Ovis aries: one gene and its partners. The protein of the gene in region 1 interacts with the protein of each later gene in a pairwise test. Links are inferred from orthologs where the notes say so. Each region holds a gene or a part of one and is shown in the gene's direction. Other genes may lie near its edges.

Region 1 (4,437 bases):
AAAAACTGTCCCTGAGCGTTTCCCCCCACTAACCTATTCAACATCATTGATTGACCACCTACCGTGTGCCAGGCCCAGGACTGGGCACAGGGCTTAAGAAGATAAAAGAAGTAGGCTGGTCCCCGCCCTCAGGACTGTGGTCCAGGCATCAGGTGGATTCATAATGAATTTAGCCTAATAGAGTAGGTTTCTCATAGGAATTTTAAATAGCTGTTGAAATTTGGCCCCAGGAAAGGTCATTGCGGTGAGGGAATAGCACCGAGGCTTCAGATTGCTCCCCGATTTGCAGATTATGAGTATCTGTCTCCCTGGGTTTAGGCTAGCCTGCATTAGATTTGTTGCTGGTGGGTTGGTGAGAGCCCAGCAGGCAAGGAGGCGGGACAGGGCGCCAAACTACAGCCCAGGGGCCATGTGGGGGCCGTGGATGGTGGGGGAGGAGGGGAGAGGGACGATTGGATCCCAGTGCTGGGAAGGACCTCCTGCGCCCTCTCAGTCATGACCCCTGACATCAGCCCTGACCCCAACCATGACCTAACTGGCCCTTAACTGAAGCCACGCCCTACTGTGACTTCACTTCTATCCATGCCCTTAGGTGCCTCCGAGCCCCCTCGTCAGCGCCAATGGCCCCGGCGATGAGAAGCTATTCCGCAGCCAGAGCGCGGATGCCCCGGGCCCCGCTGAACGCGAGCGGCTCAAAAAGATGCTGTCCGAAGGGTGAGGAGGGTAGCACAGGGTGCAGGGGCGTGACAAGACGAAAGGTGGGGGAGGCGGGAGGAAGTTCTCAGAAATTGCTGGGACTTGTTCCAGCGGCGCAATCTGACAGTGGATCCACGCCTGGGATCCCAGAACAGGCCTGGGTTGGAGAGGAGACACCCAGATTATGCCCCTTCCAGAGCCGACGCCGCTTGCCTCATCCATTCCTCGGGGCTAGCCCTGGCCCGTCCACACCTCCCCCAGCTAATTCTAAACCCACGGATGCCTCCCCACCCCCTGGTTCTGTCCACATCCCATGGGCTGATACTGAGCTCCATGTGGACTGTCTCGCGGAGCGGACACAGAAGGGCCTGCTCTGACCCCACCTCCCGGGAAGACCCCGCCTCCCCGGGACGTCCCCACCCCCTTGTCTCGAGGTCTCTTGACCCCGCCCATAGCACCGCCCAAGACCCAGCCCCGCCTTCGCCCCGCCCCTGGCCCAGTGAGGCCCCGCCCTGCCCTCTGCCGACTCCGGCGCTCTCGCAGCTCCGTGGGCGAGGTGCAGTGGGAGGCCGAGTTCTTCGCGCTGCAGGACAGTAACAACAAGTTGGCCGGCGCCCTGCGAGAGGCCAACGCGGCCGCCGCCCAGTGGAGGCAGCAGCTGGAGGCCCAGCGCGCAGAGGCTGAGAGGCTGCGGCAGCGGGTGAGGAAGCCCCACCCTCCCGAAGACCCCAGGTGGCCCAAGGGTCACTGTGAAGGCCCTGCCTCCTATTTGTGTGGGTTCAACTGGCTGGATGTGTGATCTCGGCAGGTCACTTCCCAGAGTCTTAGTTTCTTGCTCTGTAGTATGGGTCTGAAGTACTGTCGGCCACAGAGGGTCATCAGACCCTGGAGTCCTACCTGCCAGAGGTGAGGTAGTGGCCGGGATTGAAGGGATGAGTTCCCTGTCATGGGCTTGACTGACCAGGAGGCGTATCCCTGGGGTGAGGAGGTCCAGACTGGGCCACCCGGGACTGACCTGCCTGTCTGCACAGGTGGCTGAGCTGGAAGCCCAGGCTGCAGCAGAGCCACCTGCGGTCAGTGAGAAGGAGGGACCCAGCCAGTCATTGGAGCAGCTGGAGGCGCTAGTGCAAACTAAAGACCAGGTGTGTGAACGCAGCTGTGTGCGTGTGTGCTTCCTCGGGCCTCGCTGTCCTTGATCTCCCGCAGGGGAGCCAAGGACCGCAGAACAGATTCTGGGAACTTTTCCTCCAGGAGATCCAGACCCTGAGGAGCCAGACTAGTGGATCCCGTGAGGCCGCAGACACCGAGCGCGAGGAGACGCAGCAGAAGGTGCAGGTGTGTGTGGTTGCTGTGTGGTGGGCTGGGGTGACTACCCGTGGCAGCCAGTTCCTGGTACGGGACCGACATGATCTTCCCTTCCCACGGGCTCTGGGCAGCTGTGGGCCTTCCTGAACCTCTGTTTCTTCACCTATAAATGGAGTCAGGAAGACATCTAAGGTTGTGAACGATTCAGATGACCAGGTGCATGGAAGGACTGAGTCAAATGATGGTTATTAGGACAATGTTTCATCTTCCATTCATTCAACAAGCAGTTTTTGAGTCTCTGTTGAATTTCCATTCTTGACCCTGTCAAATCCTCTCACATCCCCGTCTGAGGCCAGAAGCTTGCATTTGTACCCAGATGTGGCTGGCCTCGGAGAAGGCAATAGCAATCCACTCCAGTACTCTTGCCTGGAAAATCCCATGGACGGAGGAGCCTGGTGGGCTGCAGTCCATGGGGTCGCTAAGAGTTGGATACGACTGAGCGTCTTCACTTTCACTTTCATGCACTGGAGAAGGAAATGGCAACCCACTCATGTTCTTGCCTGGAGAATCCCAGGGATGGGGGAGCCTGGTGGGCTGCCTTCTATGGGGTCGCACAGAGTCGGACACGATTGAAGCGACTTAGCAACAGGACCAGCAGTGGCTGACCTGGCTTTCGCTGAAGACTTTTCTGAGGAACGTTCATAGGGGCATGTCCTGTGAGTCCAGCAGGTGGAGAAGTTAAAGGATCTGGTGCCCCCAGAGAGAGAGTATTTGAGGGAACACTCCCTGTTGTCTCCTGGGCAGCATGCACAGCAAATACAGAGGCCCTGAGGTGGGGAGAAAGTATTCAAGGAACCACAAGGAAGCCAGAAAGGCTGAGCAGGAACGAGCAAGGAGAGGAGGGAGGGGTCTGAATTTCATTCCCAGAACAATGGGTGACAGGAGGATTTCGAGGAATGTGGTCAGTTCAAATTGGCTGGGGGACCACGGAGTGTCTTGGGTACAGGTAGCTGGGAGAAAGCCAGCAGACAGGAAGAGTTTGGCCCAGAGTGGGGGCTGTGGTCCCTAGCACCTGCTTTGAGATGCTGGACCCTTGAGACTTTCTGGGGCCCCCAACATCTGCCTGCCCTCTCCCTGTAGGATCTGGAAACCCGAAACGCAGAGCTGGAGCACCAGCTGCGGGCCACGGAGCGCAGCCTGGAGGAGGCCCGGGTCGAGCGGGAGCGGGCACGGGCCGAGGTGGGCCGGGCCGCACAGCTGCTGGACGTCAGGCTGTTTGAGCTGAGCGAGCTGCGGGAAGGGCTGGCCCGCCTGGCCGAGGGTGCACCCTGAGTCCAGCCTCCGGGTCTGCATAGAGGAAGGGGCCTGTGGGAGCTGGTTTTACACAAACGGCTCCGGCTGGGGCACAGGCCAGGCCGCAGGCGGCACGGTGGGCCAAGCCCTGTGGCAGGGACTGGGGCCCAACTCAGCCTGGGGAGGGCTTGTCCACAGGACTCCAGCCAGCCCTGGCTGTTCACAGCTCAGAGGCTGTTTTTGAGCTTTTCATTGTGTAGAATTTCTAGACTCCCCAGGGCGCGTGCTGGTGCCCAAATTACATTTCTAAGCGTGGCTGTGTGCGTGGTGTCTGAGCAGCCCGGGTGTACCCAACCACCAGCACTGGGCCCTCTGTCCATCTGCCCTCAGCCTGGTAAGCCACCTGGAGGGCGAGGTTCAGAAAGCCCGAGGGAGCGTGCCCAGGACACATGGCTCTGCTTCCCCATCTCCTTAAGCCCTGCCCATGTTGTCTGGACCACCCTGGACTAAGGTGGACCCTGATTAATGCCCCCGCTTTCACTTCACTCTAACCACAAACCCCAAATACAACCAAGTGGGCAAGTGGGGAAGCTCCTAGAATGTGGCTGTGTTCACTAGGCATGGAAACGATCTCTCCAAAACATGTCTACATCTGGGTAGTAGAGTGGTTCCCCATTTTCCAGATGAGGAAACTGAGGCCCATATAAGGGACTTCACCCACCCAAGGTCACTCGGCTGGAATGGTCAACACTACAGTCCAAAGCTTTGGGCCTGGCCCGACAGAAAAGAACTAGTGGGTGGGGTGGCAACATGATGTTCCGGGGGACTTGAGAAGCACAGGCAGCCACACCCTCTTCCCGCTGCCCCTGCTCCCCAGAGTCGGACTGCAGAAGCTAAAAGCCTCATTTATTAAGCACCTCCTGCAAGTGACACACCTTTGCTCATCGCACATCCAGGCTGACCCTGGGCTGGGGTCACTGTGCCCCAGGTGGGCCGGGGCCCAACCTCACAGCCGGTGGTCTTTCTTCCTCAGCAGCCCGCCTCTTGGCCAAGGCTCTGAAAAGGGGCCACCAGAGGCTGCAGGGTGGAGGGCTGTGCACCGTACAACGTGTGTGTCAACGGGCTCTGCTGAGGGGCACTGGG
Region 2 (5,176 bases), on another chromosome or scaffold:
GGTTAGAATTGGAGCTCTGTTTAATAACATAGAACATTCTTAAGAATGACCTGCACATGCAGGCTTGTAGATTTTCTAAATTCTTCCTCAGTGTAAAATATCAATAGCAGTATTATTACCAGGAGTCTGGGTGTATAGGCTAAAAAAGTAATAAATAAATCTATTGTGGGCAAGTGTGAAATAGAGAGAACACAATATAAATTACATTTGTTAGGTTATGATCATGGTTGGTTAGGTGTAAGGAAAAGAATCCAGAGGTTACTGTAGACTGCTTTCTGGAGTTATGAGCCCAATGTGCTAGTGTAACAAAATACTCTTGGCCTCATGAAGCAAGAGATTTACAAAGAACTTGAAAACTTAACCTGGATCTTGATTTTTAAAAAATACCTGTGAAGACCATATAAATATAATCCAGGTTATTTCCTTGTCTCTTGCCCCTAATAGAAACACCTAAACCGCCTACAACCTTTCCCTTTTCTCCCTCTTCCATGTTTAGGGTATTTCCAGGAGATTTTCCCCCTGAACTCTCCGAAAATTCCTATCTACTACTGCTGTTTATCTCCCTCTTTCTGGTCCTAAATCCCTTCTGGGGTACTGCCAAGCGCTGCCACTTTCTTGGCACCGCTTGTTTCCGCTGGGCTCTCACTGCAAATAAACTAAACATCCTGAGGTCCAAAGTGTCTCTAAGTTCATTGGCAAAGGGAGGCATACATTTAACGATTTCTCCCTAACATTCATAGATAGGTACCAAAGCACTTGAGTACCGAATCTTAGTAGGTACAACCCTTCCGGTTCTTACAGTTCCCATGGGAAACTGGGGAGCTCCTAACACAGACCTTACCAGGCTGCCGAAGAATTCCTCCTTTTTCCATGCGTGAGGTTTTGCTGCAGGGTTAAGCTTCCGGTGCCAGACTCCTTCAGTTCTCTCAAGGAATAACCTTCTGGTGCCCAACTGGGCTCAACCCAGGCTCCCCTTACGCAGCTCTAGCAAGAGGTAAGGACTTCTTCAACTTTGGAGGATGGCACGGTGGGTGGGCATCTATTCAATCTTTTCAGAAGAGTAGCTTAGATCTCGTGACAAACCCTAGATAACAACAGAGGACATGAATTAAACGGAGCTTTAAATAGAAGCGATTTAAACGAACCACTGTGGAACAAACAAGGGCACCCCTAGGTTTGCAGATATCTTTATTAAAGCTCTTTGGGGTAGTAAAATGCCAGTGGGATCGACAGTAGGAGTAGAATGGACAGTGAGTGAAAACTTGTTGATTACATCTCAAGAGTGAGTACTAGAATTGCAGGTATTCTTCCTCATTCTAACCACTCCATTCAGTAGACCGAAGGATGATATTCCGCTGGATCCCAGCTCCAGTTCCCCGATATATTAAGTCATCAGAAGATTTTGAAATTTTCTCCTTTCCCTTTTCGTCTTTGCCCAACACAGACTATGAGTTTGTCTACGACCCCTACCAACATTTAAAGGGAAAGGCGCTTCGAACTAGGCAAAGTGGGGAGGAGGACTCGGCGGTTGTGTTTCTCAAACCCGTGTACAGAGAGCAATAATGGGTAAGGGGCGTGCAGACTAACTCCTTCCTTGTCCAATCAGGTGCACAGGAAGATGTCCTTTTACCAATAAAAATAAAGTTCGCTTTCCGGAGGCGGGAGGGTAAGCCTTGACTGCCAGTTCTCCAAAGCAACGACAGAGTAGAAGACAGAGAATGATTAGAGGTAGGACCAACCCAGGAAAAGGGGCGGGGTGAAGGCGGGGGTAACTCTGAGCGGCGGCTGCACTGGCCAGTGGGGTGTGAGAACTGCTGTTCCTGTTGTAGTGTTTCTCGCCAATCAGGAAGACCAGGGAGTAGGCGGGGCGGGGAAGAGGTGGGAAGAGCTCGCAGCACCGCCGGGCGCCCGTCGGGCTCTTGGGGAGTGAGAGAGAAATCCGGTTAAAATCTGGAGTCGGAGGGAGGTTTAACCACAGATCGGTTCCGATCGGATTATTCCTTAAAGGGGACGCGCTATTGTCAAGAGAACGGAGCCTGGGGCCCGAGGGCGGGGACCGGCGGCGCCTGAGGAGCGAGGCAGCTGCACTTGGACTGGGGACGGGTAGGTGTTGCCTGGGGAAAGGCGCTTCATTTCACTTTCTCTTCCAGCTCCAGAGGCGGGCGCCGGGATGCCCGTCGGCCGGCGGCCACAGCCCCGGCGGGAGACGAGATCGCCGGCCCTCGCCCGCTTTCTGATGGGGGCTGAGAGGGGAGGCGGGCCAGGATGGCTGGCAATCTGCGCCGCCCGGGCCAAGACCCGTAACGGACACTAAGCCGCGCCGCAGCCCCCGTCTAAACCGAAAACTCGCCGGAGCGGCAGCTGGTCCTCGGGGAGAGCCGCGCGCTTTGCTCCCCCGCGCGCCCGGCTCCCGATGCGCGCGCTGCTTCCTTGCGCGCCCCCTTCCCCTCGCGCGCCCAATTCTGCTCTCGCGCGCCGCGTCCTCGCGGACTCGCGGGAGCCGCCCCGCGGGGAGGAAGGCGGCGCGGCGGAGGGAGGTCGGCGGCCACCGCTCTGCCGCCCTGGCTGTGAAGGCAGGGCTGGGAAGCAAACTTAGCGCGGCAGCTTGGCGACCCCGGGCGAGAAGGGGCGCTGGGGACCACGGAGAGTGCAGAGTCGCCAGCCGGGCCCAGCATTGTCCTGCTTTTCTTCTGCTCTGGTCTCTCCGCCCACTGCTCGCGGTCGTGGGGAGGGGTGCGGATGCGGGCGCCGTGCCCGCGCTGCTCCGGGCCGGCGGCGCACCCCTAGACTCCCTGCCTGCCTGAGCTGGAGTCTGCCCCCACTGACACCGCAGCCGCCGCCCGTCGGGGCCAGGGAGCGTCTTTGCAGCTCTCCCGTCTCCGCACCCGCGCAGGCTGCCTGGGTGCTGAGCTCTTTGTAACTTTTCTTTGCCTATTGATGGAAGTTATGGCTTCCGGGCGGCAGGTTCTTTGGGCAAAACATCGTTCCCTGCGTTTTGGAAAGGCTCACTTGTAGGACGAAATGGTTCTTGATAGCTGTCGGACTTTTCCTCCCATCTCAGTTTCATTCCTGGCGCCTAAAATCGTTTCTTTTGTGGATTTGCATTGCAAGGGAGCATTAACCTCTCTTCATTTCAGTTCAGTTCAGTCGCTCAGTCGTGTCCGACTCTTTGCGACCCCATGAATTGCAGCACGCCAGGCCTCCCTGTCCATCACCAACTCCTGGAGTTCACTCAGACTCACGTCCATCGAGTCGGTGATGCCATCCAGCCATCTCATCCTCTGTCGTCCCGTCCCCTATTAGGTCAAGATAATTTGAAAAAAAAAGGGGGGGGGTGCTGATGAGGAGCAAGAGCTCTTTGTAGTGAGAATTTGCCTTCACCTTTGAACTGTGGAAAGTGTTACCTCGATTGACTGGCGGAGATTCTTTTGGAAGGGAAAAGAAACATTGCAAAACAAAACAAAAAGCTTCAGATTGCTAGGGTCTATAGGATTAGGCGGAAAAAATAGAATTTGGGTAGAAATAAAGTTAGTTTAACTATTCTGCCCAGCAGATACCTTCCGTAAAGTTTGTTTCTGCTACTGAACCCATAGACGTTGTAGTTAGTAACAGCCGCTTGTACTATTGATAAACAAGAAATTTTTCCTCCTCCATCTTAAGCATTAGTGGTATTCTATACCTGTCAATCCCTGGAGAAGGGAATGGCAACCCACTCCAGTATTCTTGCCTGGAGAATTCCACGGATAGAGGAGCCTGACGGACTCCAGTCCATGGGGTCGCCAAGAATCAGACACGACTGAGCGACTAATACACATACCTGTCAAAACATGCTAAAGAAGTTACATTTAGAAATAGTACGTCCTTGTTAGAAACCTTATTTAGAAAAGGAATATTTTCATGAGCATTCATTTTTGACAGTTTCTTCTTGTGCAATACTTTGTAGAGTACTTGCATGTGCAAGTTACAAGCCTATAAACAAAGTTGCGGTGGGTGTGTTATTATGTAGTCTCTTTTTGGCTACTCATTATCAAAGATAGCATTCCATCCTGGCTTTTCTTCCATTCTGAGTTATTTTGTAAAATTACTTTTTTAGGAAAAGTGAATTTATTGGAACCTCTGGCCCAGTGGTTGGTGTGTGTGTGTTTAAGCAATATAACAACTTTCCAAAGTGTTCATTAACTGTTCAGTAACTTTATGAGTGGATGTGAAGCATTATAACATAAATTCACAGGCTCAGCAATAGCAAAGAAAAACTATACCTGGGAAACTAAAAGTCAGTTTCAGAGAATAATATTTGAGAGATGCTTTACTCTTCCTATAGAATTTTGGAAGTGTAGACATACAAACACATGATCTTTCCTAGTAATCTTGATGATATCTGGCATTGTACACATAATGCTCCCCTTTCTTCTCCTTTCCTTTGATAAGTATGTCAGGCAAGCTTGCTAGCATAATCTTCCTTTCCATTTCATAATAGAAAGTAGAAGATTAAAGCAAGTTTCCAAAATTCTATTTTTGTTCACTTACCAGCTTATTTAAACAATAAAGGAGAGAATTCCGGAACTTTTAAAAGATTACATATAAAGGAAACACTCAGAATTATCTTTGAAATATCTAGGCTGTGTTTCAGGGAGAACATATTTTTCCTGTGTGCTTTTCACATTGTTTTAAGCACATTGTCTTAAATATACACATTGCCAAGGCATTTCTTGAATTGTGAAGTGTCCCTTGAGATCCCTGGGAACTAGGACTGTCCTCTATTTCTGTGCAGATTCGCTCTGTCACCTAATACATTTCTAGTGCCCAGTAAATGGATTTGTTGACTTAGGACTTTGTGAGGGAAAAAGATAACGTTCTGTAAAGACTGCTTGAGAGGCCTATTTATTTATTTTTTAAGATACCTTTCTGAACAAGTTACACCAGAGACCAGCAGTTGGTTTAGTGTCTAGGGGCAGGTATATTAATCTAGTTGCTTTTTGTTCTGTGTACAAAAACGTGACTTAATTGTTAGTAGTGTTTGATCCACAGACATCTTTCGTGAGGGTGATTGTCGTCCCAATTATTAGAACTAGGTTTAATTTGTCAACATCTGTTGAGTACCCATTTATTTGAGGAGTATTATGGAAACATAAAGTAGAAATGGATGATAGTCATTACTTTCAAAGTTACGGAGATT
Region 3 (5,333 bases), on another chromosome or scaffold:
AAAATGGGTGTAGAAGTCAGGTCCAACAAGTCTAGGAAAATAGAGACATAACAACACACGGATGGTGCACCAACCTTGACATATTCAACAGCTCTTGGAGAAAAATCACAGGCATAGGCAAAGATACCTGGATCTTCTTCTAAAAGTGGGAATAAACAGTTCCCAACCCCACAGCCAGCTTCAAGAATAGTCAATTTCTGATCTTCAAACTGAGGAAAGAGAACCCAAAGTTACAGTACACAACATCCCACCTAATGAAGAAACAAACTAAAAGGTCCAGAACATGAAACAAGGTCTCTGCCCCCATGGAGTAGACAATTAACCAGTGAAGGGATAACCCAAAGCAACTGATGCCTCATCTGTTGTCCAACACTGGGTAATCTGGTGTGGAGAAAACAACAGCGTAATGGCTAACACAACAGGCTCTGAGGTTAAAGTGCCTGCACGCAAATCTGAACTTTTCCCCTCACCCTGCATTCCGTCACTGAACAAGTCACTCACACAGCTTTGTCCCTCAGTTTCATCAGCAAGTGGGAATAACCCTAACGCTAAACTTCAACATGTTACTTTAAGGTTTAAATTACAGAACACTACTGTTAAGTTCATGTGAAGGGCTGTGGTGAAGCATTCATCTCCATTATCATTATGAACCTGTCACTGAAATCATTCAGTGTGAACTCAATATTTACAATTTTCAGATTCGCTTTAAAGAAACAGAAAATGCCCACTCAAGTCCTCTCTCCTCTGTATTTTACAACTCAGCAACTGCTAAAACTATTTGAGACAGTGTATATCTAAGCTACAAAAATTCATGAAGCCTTTGACAGGTTTCGTAAATTTTCTACCTCACACTCGCCCTGGGAATCCAATAAAACACCCCTCTTCTACACATTTTAAATGAAGAATCGCTCGAACAAGGTGCAGTATTAGTTTACCTCTCTACATGATCTGAGCTCCTCAAACTCTCTGGTGGTCCAGTGTCTATCTTTGAAGAAATTAGTGCTGTTTCTTTTGTAAAAAAGGTCCCAGTTCTTCTGAGCCTCTTTTTCCAGTTTCTGCTGTTTAAAATCAGACACTAAAGCTTGGTCTCTCTTCAGTTTCTCCTCTTCTTCAGAGCTGAGAATCCTTGTCTGCAGCCCTCTCCTTTGCAAAGCAGCCATCTCCTACGTGGATGGTCATATGCTGAACATTTAACACTGCTGGAGATGGCCCATTCCTCAGCAACCTGAGGACTTCAAGTGGATACCACAGACACAGGCAGGGTCCTCTCAGATGTGGTCCCTCAGGCTGGGTTCAAGCCTGAAGCAGCCATCGGATACTTCGCAGGAAAGAAAAAGACATTCCGGTGGGAGGTTCTAGAACAGGTTTTTTTTTTTAAGATGCTCAGTTAGCGGTTCTTGATTAGTTCTTTCACTTAACATTTCAATTCCGCAAACATTTACTAGATGCTGACCCTACACAAAGCCCTACCCCACTACAGAAGAGGTCACAAAGAGCAAGACACAGACCCCCGCCTGCAGGGGGCTGACATCCAGCGGCCAGGGCTCTCACGCACAGAAAGGCTTAATTCCAACCCGAACAGTCAGTAAGCCGCTTTCAGTCAGGAAAAAAAGTCACTCTCAAGAACTGACTGAGAAACCTTACGGTTCCTCAGGGTTCGGTGTCCGTGAAACGGGGGTGTCTTTAAAAACAACCACGACGGCTGTCCAAGCCCCAGGCGGTCGGTCACCGTCGCCAAGGACGCGAGAGACGGCGTTTTTCGGGGAAAACGGAGCTACTACGCCCGGGTGGCCTGAGTCTGTCTCATGAACCCCAGGGCGCGTCCCTTTCGGGAACTGAGGCCCTCGCGCCGCCCTGGGCGCGCGAAAGGGACGAAAAAGAGGCTCAGGGACGCGGAGAGTGGGGCCGCCAGGACCCTGCGGATGAGCCGGGCCGCCCAGCCGCGAGGGGCGGCGGCGACCCGCGTGAGCCTAGTCCACCGCGCGCCGGGCGCCCCAGTCAGCAGTTCCTAGGTTCCCCTGAAGGGTGGGGCCGGGCGCGCTGAGCCCCCAGCCAGGCGCAGCCTCAGAAGCAGAACTTGGGAGCCACCGCGGGGAAAAAAAAAAAAACAAAACAAAACAAAACCAAAACCCTTCGCCTGGCCAACACCCACCCCCGCCCCGCAGAGAGACCTCGAATCCGGATTCTCCCGGCGGCAAAGACCTTCGGCCATGGCACCGCCCCCTCTACTTCCGCTGCGGGCCCGGACGTCCCTCCTCGGCGCCGGAAGTTCCGCCGTCGGGTCTGCTCGGAGTCGTCCCCCGCCCAGACGCGCAGGCCCGAGCTCGTTTCCGGCCTGCGCGGGTGGGCGCCGGCTCGGCTCCCCGCGCGCCCCCGAGCGCTGTCCCGGAAGCGCGGCTCCTCCGGACGCCGGCGCCGGCGGCTCGGGCCGGGGCCGCGCCAGGAGGGCGCCCGGGCGGGCGCGAGGCCCGTGCGGGGCCATGAACGGGACGGCCAACCCGCTGCTGGACCGCGAGGAGCACTGCCTGCGGCTCGGGGAGAGCTTCGAGAAGCGGCCGCGGGCCTCCTTCCACACCATCCGCTGTGAGTCCGCCCCCCGGTCGCCCTCTGCCCCGGAGAAGGCCAGGGGGCCTTGCCGGCGTTCCCTCCCTCGGGGGACCTCGGGTTTTTCCTTTGTTTTTTTTTCCCAGCTCCCTCTTCTCAGACCAGACCCTTCCCTCAGCTCCCAGGATTTCTCCGCTTTGCGCTACCAAATGCTTCTCCCGAAGGTCATTGGACCCTCTTGCGCCCCGAACCTCCACGTCCCCATGTTACTACCGAAGGGCTGCGACCCCATCAGTTTCCAGCTTCTTTGTATTCCAGCCTCTCCTCACCCCCACCGCCCCCCACACACCCAGATCCCCGCGCTTCAGGAGCTCTTCTCGTTTCCTCGGGATTGGCATCCTCCACCTTCCCCTCTTATTACCGAAGGGCTGCGACCCCACATCAGTTTCCAGCTTCTTTGTATTCCAGCCACCCCCTCCCCCTCGATCCACACCCCGATCCCCACTGGGCATCTCCACGCTTCAGGAGCTCTTCTCGTTTTCCTCGGCGTTGGCCTCCACTCCCTCCTGTTCCATTCCCTTCCGGCCGCCTTTGCTTTTCTTTCCTTGCCCCCTTGGGTTCTGGCCTCCGCGACGCCCGGCTGCAGCCCCAGAGCCCGCAGCTCTGCGCCCCGTCCGCCTTCTTTTCCTCCATATATCTGTGCCAGCTTGTCTCGCGCTTTGATGTCTTTTTGAGGTCACCAGACTACCCCTCACTTTTTCTCCAGACCCAGTCCCTTGTGGGTGGAAAGTAAAATTAGGATTGGAGAGCCAGGAATAAGTTAGAGCTTGATCTATGTTTGGAAGCAAAAGCCAGCAGGCATAAGGAGTGTGCAGATAGTCATTATGCTGGACCTCTTTTTTTCTCCATGATTACAGACTCTGTTGAGGGGAGGGCCTTTCCACTGTGTATCCTGGGTGAAGAATTGGCCGCCAGAGCATCCCACTATGATTCACAGACTCCTGGTTTCGCGTCCCAGTAGCCCCAGTACTGGTTAAGACTTGTTTTTGTCCGAGGAGTTCTTAGATGTGACTCAACACCTTGAAACAGGCGTAGTAGGTGGTGAACTTCTGTCTTCCTGTGGTCACTTGCCAGGCCATTACTCTGCTTCCTGCTGACGGCAGATCAGCCCTCTGAGGGGCTGGGTTTTGGGAATGTGAGAAGAGCAGCATCATTTCCTGAACAATTTACTAAGTTGATGTTGTGGCAGAATGAAGGGCAACGTGCAGTTTAAATAAGACACTTGACAGATGTACCTGGCCTGCAGTCTGAGGCAGGTTTGTGTTAAAAGACAGTAAGATGGCTGTTCACGCTGTGCCTTAACTGCAATTCAGAAACATGGGCAGGATTAACCTTTGGAAGTACAGTGCAACCTTCTGCTCCAGATATCTGTAGGAATATTCTTGTTAAAGCTATGGAACTTGAGTGTGGCAGATCCTAACTTTGACAGTTCTTATCAAAATGCTGTGACCTCTCATGTTTCATAGTGTGTTTTACAATCGCAGGGTTTTAAAAACATACTCTGTTGCTTTTCATCCTTATAATAACCCTAATAAAACACCTCATTGTAGGTAATAAGGCATGAATTTTCATCTGTCACTTAGGGGAAGGGAGTATCTGCTTAATGAAAAGTTGCATAAATTCTAGCCTTTTTCCTTCAGAATTATCCAGTGGGGATAAGAGGGAAAGTATATGGAGGTATAGATGAAACTATATTGCCCCAGAACTGGTAATGAAGCTGGGTGATGGTATTCAGGACTCATTATAGTATTCTCTTTGCTGTTGTATATGAGAAATTTTCCACAGTGAGATAACATTTTAAGAAATTCTAAGTGGTTTGTATTTTCTTTTATCTGAGTTATAAAAAATTTCCATTCTTACATGTGAATGCCGTGCAAGCACTTAATACAAGTAACCTGGTGGATAAATGCTTTTTTTCCTTTCCCTTTAGATGACTTTAAGCCGGCGTCTATAGACACTTCCTGTGAAGGAGAGCTTCAGGTCGGCAAAGGAGATGAAGTCACAATTACGCTGCCGCATATCCCTGTAGGTTTTATTACATCGTTGTTGCTGTTGTTTAATGTGGAATCACAGTGAATCCTCATATTGTTATTGCAATTTGATTTCCTCCTTTTTAAAAACTTCTAGATTTCTGAAGTGCCAGCATGAGAAAAGGAACTAGGGGGGTCAGATGGGATGGAATTCATGCTTCCCAGGCTCCTGAGTAAAAAAAATTCTTTGTCATTTTTCCCAAACTCCCTTTCCCCATTTGTTCCTAAGAAGGCAAGGTGGAACCTGGCTCCTCCTTTAGACATATGTAGCCTCTCCCAACAGCTGCAGAGAAAGAGGCCCAAGTGCTCTATGGGTATAAAACAGCAACGGCTTAGGGGCGTGGAGAGGCAGGGGCGGGATCAGCATGGTTCATGAATCTGGCAGGGGGTGATGTGCAGGCTGGTGGTTTCAGGCAGGACCTAGGTTCAGAGCCGCAGGTTAAAAGCTGAGTGGAGAACCTTCGCAGAGAGACACTGCTGAAGTCTTATCAAGGCACCACTGTGATCGCAAGGATCAGACAGAATAGTCTTAATGAACACGTGCATGTCCCAGGCCTGTCCTGGAACATGATAAGCTCTTGGTAACCAGTGAGAGAATGAAAAGGCTCTGGACAGAGAGCCTTGGGAAGCGTTGTGCTGACAAAAAACTGTCTGCCAGTTCAAACAGCTCTCATTAGTTGTTGCCTTTGGCAGGTTACA
Region 4 (4,565 bases), about 5.5 Mb from region 1:
TACATATATGTATGTATTTATGTTTAGACATACCTCCCCATGTCCTTAACCTTAGAGGAAAAGTCTTTTTTTTTTTTCTTTCATTTCGCTGCTTGCTTAGATTTTTTTTAAGTTTATTATTTATTTTGGCTTTGCTGGGTCTTCATTGCAGCTTTCAGGCTTCTCTAGTTGTGGTGCCTGGGCTCTAGAGTGCTTGGGTTCAGTCGTTGTAACTTGTAGACTTGATTGCCATCTGTGGGATCTTTGTTTCCTGACCAGGGATCGAACCTGGGCCCCCTGCATTGAGAGTGTGGAGTCTTATCCATTGGACCACCAGGAAAGTCCCCACTACTTGCTTAGTTTTTTAAATACCAGTTTTCTTTGCAAAAAGATCAGACCGTGTGAAAAAGAAACAGAATTCCCAGTGTATGCATGCAAAGTCGCTTCAGTCGTATCCTACTCTTTGCGATGCTATGGACTCAAGCCCACCAGGCTCCTCTGTCCATGGGATTCTCCGGCCGAGAATACTGGAGTGTGTTGCCATGCCCTCCTCCAGAGAATCTTTCTGACCCGGGGATCAAACCTGCAGCTCTTATGTCTCTGTCATTGGCAGACGGGTTCTTTACCATTAGCTCAACCTGGGAAACCCTAGTATAAAAAATTCCCAGTGCACAGTATTTTAAACAAAAAACGGCTGTATTATTAACTCTGTTTTCAGGAATGGGATAAATATCAAGAGAGTCATTGGGTTCAAGTGAGTTTAAAGATTAACCTGAAAGAAGCTTTTCCTTGGCTGTGAAAGTCGTTCACTTGTGTCTGACTTTCTGCGACCCCATGGACTATATAGTCCATGGAATTCTCCAGGCCAGAATACTGGAGTGGGTAGCCTATCCCTTCTCCAGTGAATCTTCCCGACCCAGGAGTCGAACCAAGGTCTCCTGCATTGCAGGTGAATTTTTTACCAGCTGAGCTACCAGGGAAGCCTCTAGATACCAAAAGTCTACATTGCTCTAAGTTTTCACTAGAAAATGCTTTCAAAATTTTAAAACAGTCACTTTTCAGTAATTTCTAACTAATTCACTAATTCCTAAAAATATCTAGAAAAATTCTTGAAATAGTCAAGGGCTATTTTACTATCTGGGTGAAAATTCTTACATAATCTCGTAATCCAGGACCACAGAAGGAAAGGCGCAGAGAAGAGCTGACTTCACACGGCAGGGCCATGAAATTATTCTTCTGTTAGGAAGACTGTCCAAAACCCAAGTGGATAATAGTGGTGGGTGGCCAGGGGTAAGAGTTCTGAGGCAGTCCTGCTTGTCTTCAAGATTTACTTACTATTTTTTTTTTTAAGAAAGATTGTTGTTTCTTTTTTAAAAAATGTTACTTATTTTCATTTTTGGCTTGGCTGAGTCTTTGTTGCTGCTCGGGCTCTTCTCTAGTTGTGGCGGGCGGGCTTCTCATCGCCGTGGCTTCACTAGTGACCGAGCACGGGCTCTGGAGCACCGGCTCAGTAGTTGTGGCTCACGGGCTTAGCTGCTCGGCGGCAAGTGGGATCTGCCTGGATCAGCAATTGAATGTCTCCTGCATTGGCAGGCGGATTCTTTACCACGGGAGAAGCCCCCAAGGTTTACTGAGAACATTCTCTTTTGTTCTCCCCAAAGCACCATCCTATAGAACCTTCTGCAGTTCTGTCGCCTCTGAGCCTACAATAGTTGAGTTCTGTCGTAGATGGTATTGTTCCGTGTCTGTGTCCTCCTGTATAGTAGCCGCTAGCCTCTTGAAGTCTGGCTAGTGTGACGGGGGACTGACACTTTCAGTCAGCTTACATTTTACTTCATTTCAGTAGCCACATGTGGCTAGAGGTGACCAGATCGGGGACACCCATAAAGTCACATGGTTCTATGACTTCAACACCTTCCAGAAGATGTGATGCAGTTGGGAGAATTCCATGAGACCAGTGGTTTCCCCACATGAGTGGACACCAGCATCATCACCTGGAAGGCTTGCTAGAACACACACTGCTGGGCTCCACCCCCAGGGTTTCTGATTCAGTGGGTCCAGGGTGGGTGGAGGTGCTGAGAATCTCCCTTTCCAGCAGGTTCCCAGGGATGCTGGTGATGCTGGTTTGTGAGCACAGGAGGGGAGGCGGGACGCTGAAGGAAGGGTAGTTCCCATTTGCCGGAGTCGTCCGTAGGTCTTGTTGGATCAGAGCTGCTCCCCACCCCTAGAAGAGGGCCTGCTTGCCTGCCTGCTTCTTGCTTTTCCAGGGTGGCTTTCAAGAGGTGGTCCTGTCAAAGGATGGATTGGCTTTGTGACCCCTTAATACGCTGCATGGTACTCTGTGGTTGGATGCGATGCCACAGTGACTGGAACCCTGGAAACGTACGGGTGTGCACGCCTATGACCCTGAGGCTCCCCCAGCGAGATGCTAGAGGAGGGCTAGGGTCCTCACGCCAGCCCCTCCCCTCAGGTCACCTTCCGCAACCCTGTCATTGAGAGGATCCCCCGGCTCCGACGACAGAAGAAGATCTTCTCCAAGCAGCAAGGTGAGGGGATGAACCGGGACAGGGCAGAGACCAGGGTTGCCATCCGTGTCATGGAGGCTAACGTCCACCCCCATGCTGCCCTTCCCCAGGGAAGGCATTTCAGCGTGCTAGGCAGATGAACATCGACGTTGCCACCTGGGTACGGCTGCTTCGCAGGCTCATCCCCAACGCCACGGCCACTGGTACCTTCAGCCCGGGGGCTTCACCAGGACCTGAGGCTCGGTCCACAGGGTAAGCGGGGGGTGGGGCCCTGGGAGGCCCGCTGCCCTGGCTGCTTTCCCGGGCGCCAGGTCTTAGATGCGCCCTCCTTCCTTGTGCCGCAGTGACGTATCTGTGGAGAAGCTGAACCTCGGGGTTGAGACAGACAGCTCACCCCAGAAGAGCCCTCTGGGTCCTCCTTCCAGCCCATCCAGTCTGGTGAGCACCCCACCTTGGCCCAGCTCGAGTTCCAAGCTCTCGCCAGGAACTTCCTTGGTCACACAGCTTATCTCTGCCAGAGCTAGGGTCTCATTTTCTATCCCAGACAAACACATGAGCTTGGGAGCCAGGCCCCCTGGGCCCCACTCCTTCTCTGTTGCCTCCTGTCTGTGTGACCCATGCCAAGCCACTTCACCTCTTCATGCTTAGCGCACCACTGTGTAAAACGATCAAGTTTAAAACTCATGTCGATGACAGGAGTCAGGTTAGTGGTTTCCTCCGGGCAGTTTGTTGACAGGAGAATGGACTCAGGAGAGCCTGCCAGCATGATGAAAATGTTCTGAAGCTTGATCTAGGTCAGAGGGCAAGTACGCTTTTTCTGGAAAGGACCATATCGTCAGTATCTTCAGCTTTGTGGGTCAGATGGGTCACAGTGATGACTCGTCAATACTGCTCTCATAGAAAGCAGCAACATGTGATACAGGCATGAAGGGGTGTGACTGTGCACTGGGAAAGCCTTGTGTCATATCCCTTTCAGGAATCATGAGCTATTTTTCTTCTTTTGATTTTTCTCAACCCTTTAAAAACATAAAAATGATTCTTAGCTTACAGACTGTACAAAACACGGAGTTTACCAACCCCTGGTCTAGCTCACAGGCATCTGGTTAGACACGTGTAAGAGCTGGTCCCATTACCCACCCCACTGAATGCATTTTATACCTCATTTTCTAAAAAATGGCAGCAATAACAACATATGCTTCATGGCATTAAGTGAGATCATTAAATAGATGAATTTGGCAAAAAAAAAAAAAATCCAAAAGTTGAATAACACTGAATGCTGGGGAGGATGCGGGAGAACAGGCAGGCAGTCAGTGGGAGGCATGTGAATCACTACATCTTCTTGGGAGGGCAAGCTGGTTGAGTTAAAAATGGGTGTTATCTTGACCTAGGTGTTCCACTCCTGGACATCTGTGATGGCCATTCACATACATGCACACAAAAAATGCTTGAATGAGTATGAAATACATCTAGAAAGGTACCCATGACATCATTAACAGCAGCTGGCTCTGGGGAGAGCAGCTGGGGCAGGAAAAACTGCATTTCCTACTGTATACCTGTTTGCACTGGTTGAACTTTTAAAACTATATAATGGGGAATGATGGACCAGTAGGTAAATTTTCTCCAACTTAAACTTTTAATTTTGATGCTTCATTATATATTCATATGATGTAAAGAATTAGGTGGTTCCATAAGGCTGTTACCAATAAAGGCAATAAGTTAGACGTATTGGAGCTTCAGCAACAGTCCTCCCAATGACTGTTCAGGGTTGATTTCCTTTAGGATTGACTGGTTTGATCTCCTTGCTGTCCAGGGGACTCTCAAGAGTCTTTTCTAGCACAATTCAAAGGCATCGGTTATTCAGCCCTCAGCCTTCCTTATGGTCCAGGTCTCACATCTGTACATGGCTCTTGGAAAACCCATAGTTTTGACTATACAGACACGAGAGGTCAGATTGGAGATGGGTCATATCCACTGTGGTTATGGGTTATTGTACTCTGACCTCCTGTCTCTGTCACAGAGTTCTCCGATCCAGGCAACTACTACCACTCCCGAGCTGCCTTC

Evidence for each region.
Region 2: the proteins of HOMER3 (region 1) and FRYL interact in binary tests that used the Homo sapiens proteins (3 or more experiments, as listed by UniProt). The two-hybrid records come from large-scale screens. The link is inferred for Ovis aries from reciprocal best matches to the Homo sapiens genes HOMER3 and FRYL.
Region 3: the proteins of HOMER3 (region 1) and EAF1 interact in binary tests that used the Homo sapiens proteins (3 or more experiments, as listed by UniProt). The two-hybrid records come from large-scale screens. The link is inferred for Ovis aries from reciprocal best matches to the Homo sapiens genes HOMER3 and EAF1.
Region 4: the proteins of HOMER3 (region 1) and PKN1 interact in binary tests that used the Homo sapiens proteins (3 or more experiments, as listed by UniProt). The two-hybrid records come from large-scale screens. The link is inferred for Ovis aries from reciprocal best matches to the Homo sapiens genes HOMER3 and PKN1.

Annotation. Positions count from the first base shown.
Region 1 is NC_056058.1:4,098,449-4,102,885, forward strand, and holds the end of HOMER3 (homer protein homolog 3), read left to right. Parts: intron 1-592; coding exon 593-714; intron 715-1,239; coding exon 1,240-1,396; intron 1,397-1,727; coding exon 1,728-1,838; intron 1,839-1,947; coding exon 1,948-2,031; intron 2,032-3,141; coding exon 3,142-3,333; 3' UTR 3,334-3,609; downstream 3,610-4,437. UniProt on the Homo sapiens protein: Postsynaptic density scaffolding protein. Binds and cross-links cytoplasmic regions of GRM1, GRM5, ITPR1, DNM3, RYR1, RYR2, SHANK1 and SHANK3.
Region 2 is NC_056059.1:68,113,326-68,118,501, reverse strand, and holds the start of FRYL (protein furry homolog-like), read left to right. Parts: upstream 1-1,880; 5' UTR 1,881-2,103; intron 2,104-5,176. UniProt on the Homo sapiens protein: Plays a key role in maintaining the integrity of polarized cell extensions during morphogenesis, regulates the actin cytoskeleton and plays a key role in patterning sensory neuron dendritic fields by promoting avoidance between homologous dendrites as well as by limiting dendritic branching.
Region 3 is NC_056054.1:273,470,804-273,476,136, forward strand, and holds the start of EAF1 (ELL-associated factor 1), read left to right. Parts: upstream 1-2,000; 5' UTR 2,001-2,210; coding exon 2,211-2,583; intron 2,584-4,534; coding exon 4,535-4,629; intron 4,630-5,333. Other genes in the region: tRNA N(3)-methylcytidine methyltransferase METTL6, read right to left, coding at 75-209, 936-1,160. UniProt on the Homo sapiens protein: Acts as a transcriptional transactivator of ELL and ELL2 elongation activities.
Region 4 is NC_056058.1:9,628,293-9,632,857, reverse strand, and holds part of PKN1 (serine/threonine-protein kinase N1), read left to right. Parts: intron 1-2,449; coding exon 2,450-2,525; intron 2,526-2,614; coding exon 2,615-2,756; intron 2,757-2,848; coding exon 2,849-2,942; intron 2,943-4,521; coding exon 4,522-4,565. UniProt on the Homo sapiens protein: PKC-related serine/threonine-protein kinase involved in various processes such as regulation of the intermediate filaments of the actin cytoskeleton, cell migration, tumor cell invasion and transcription regulation.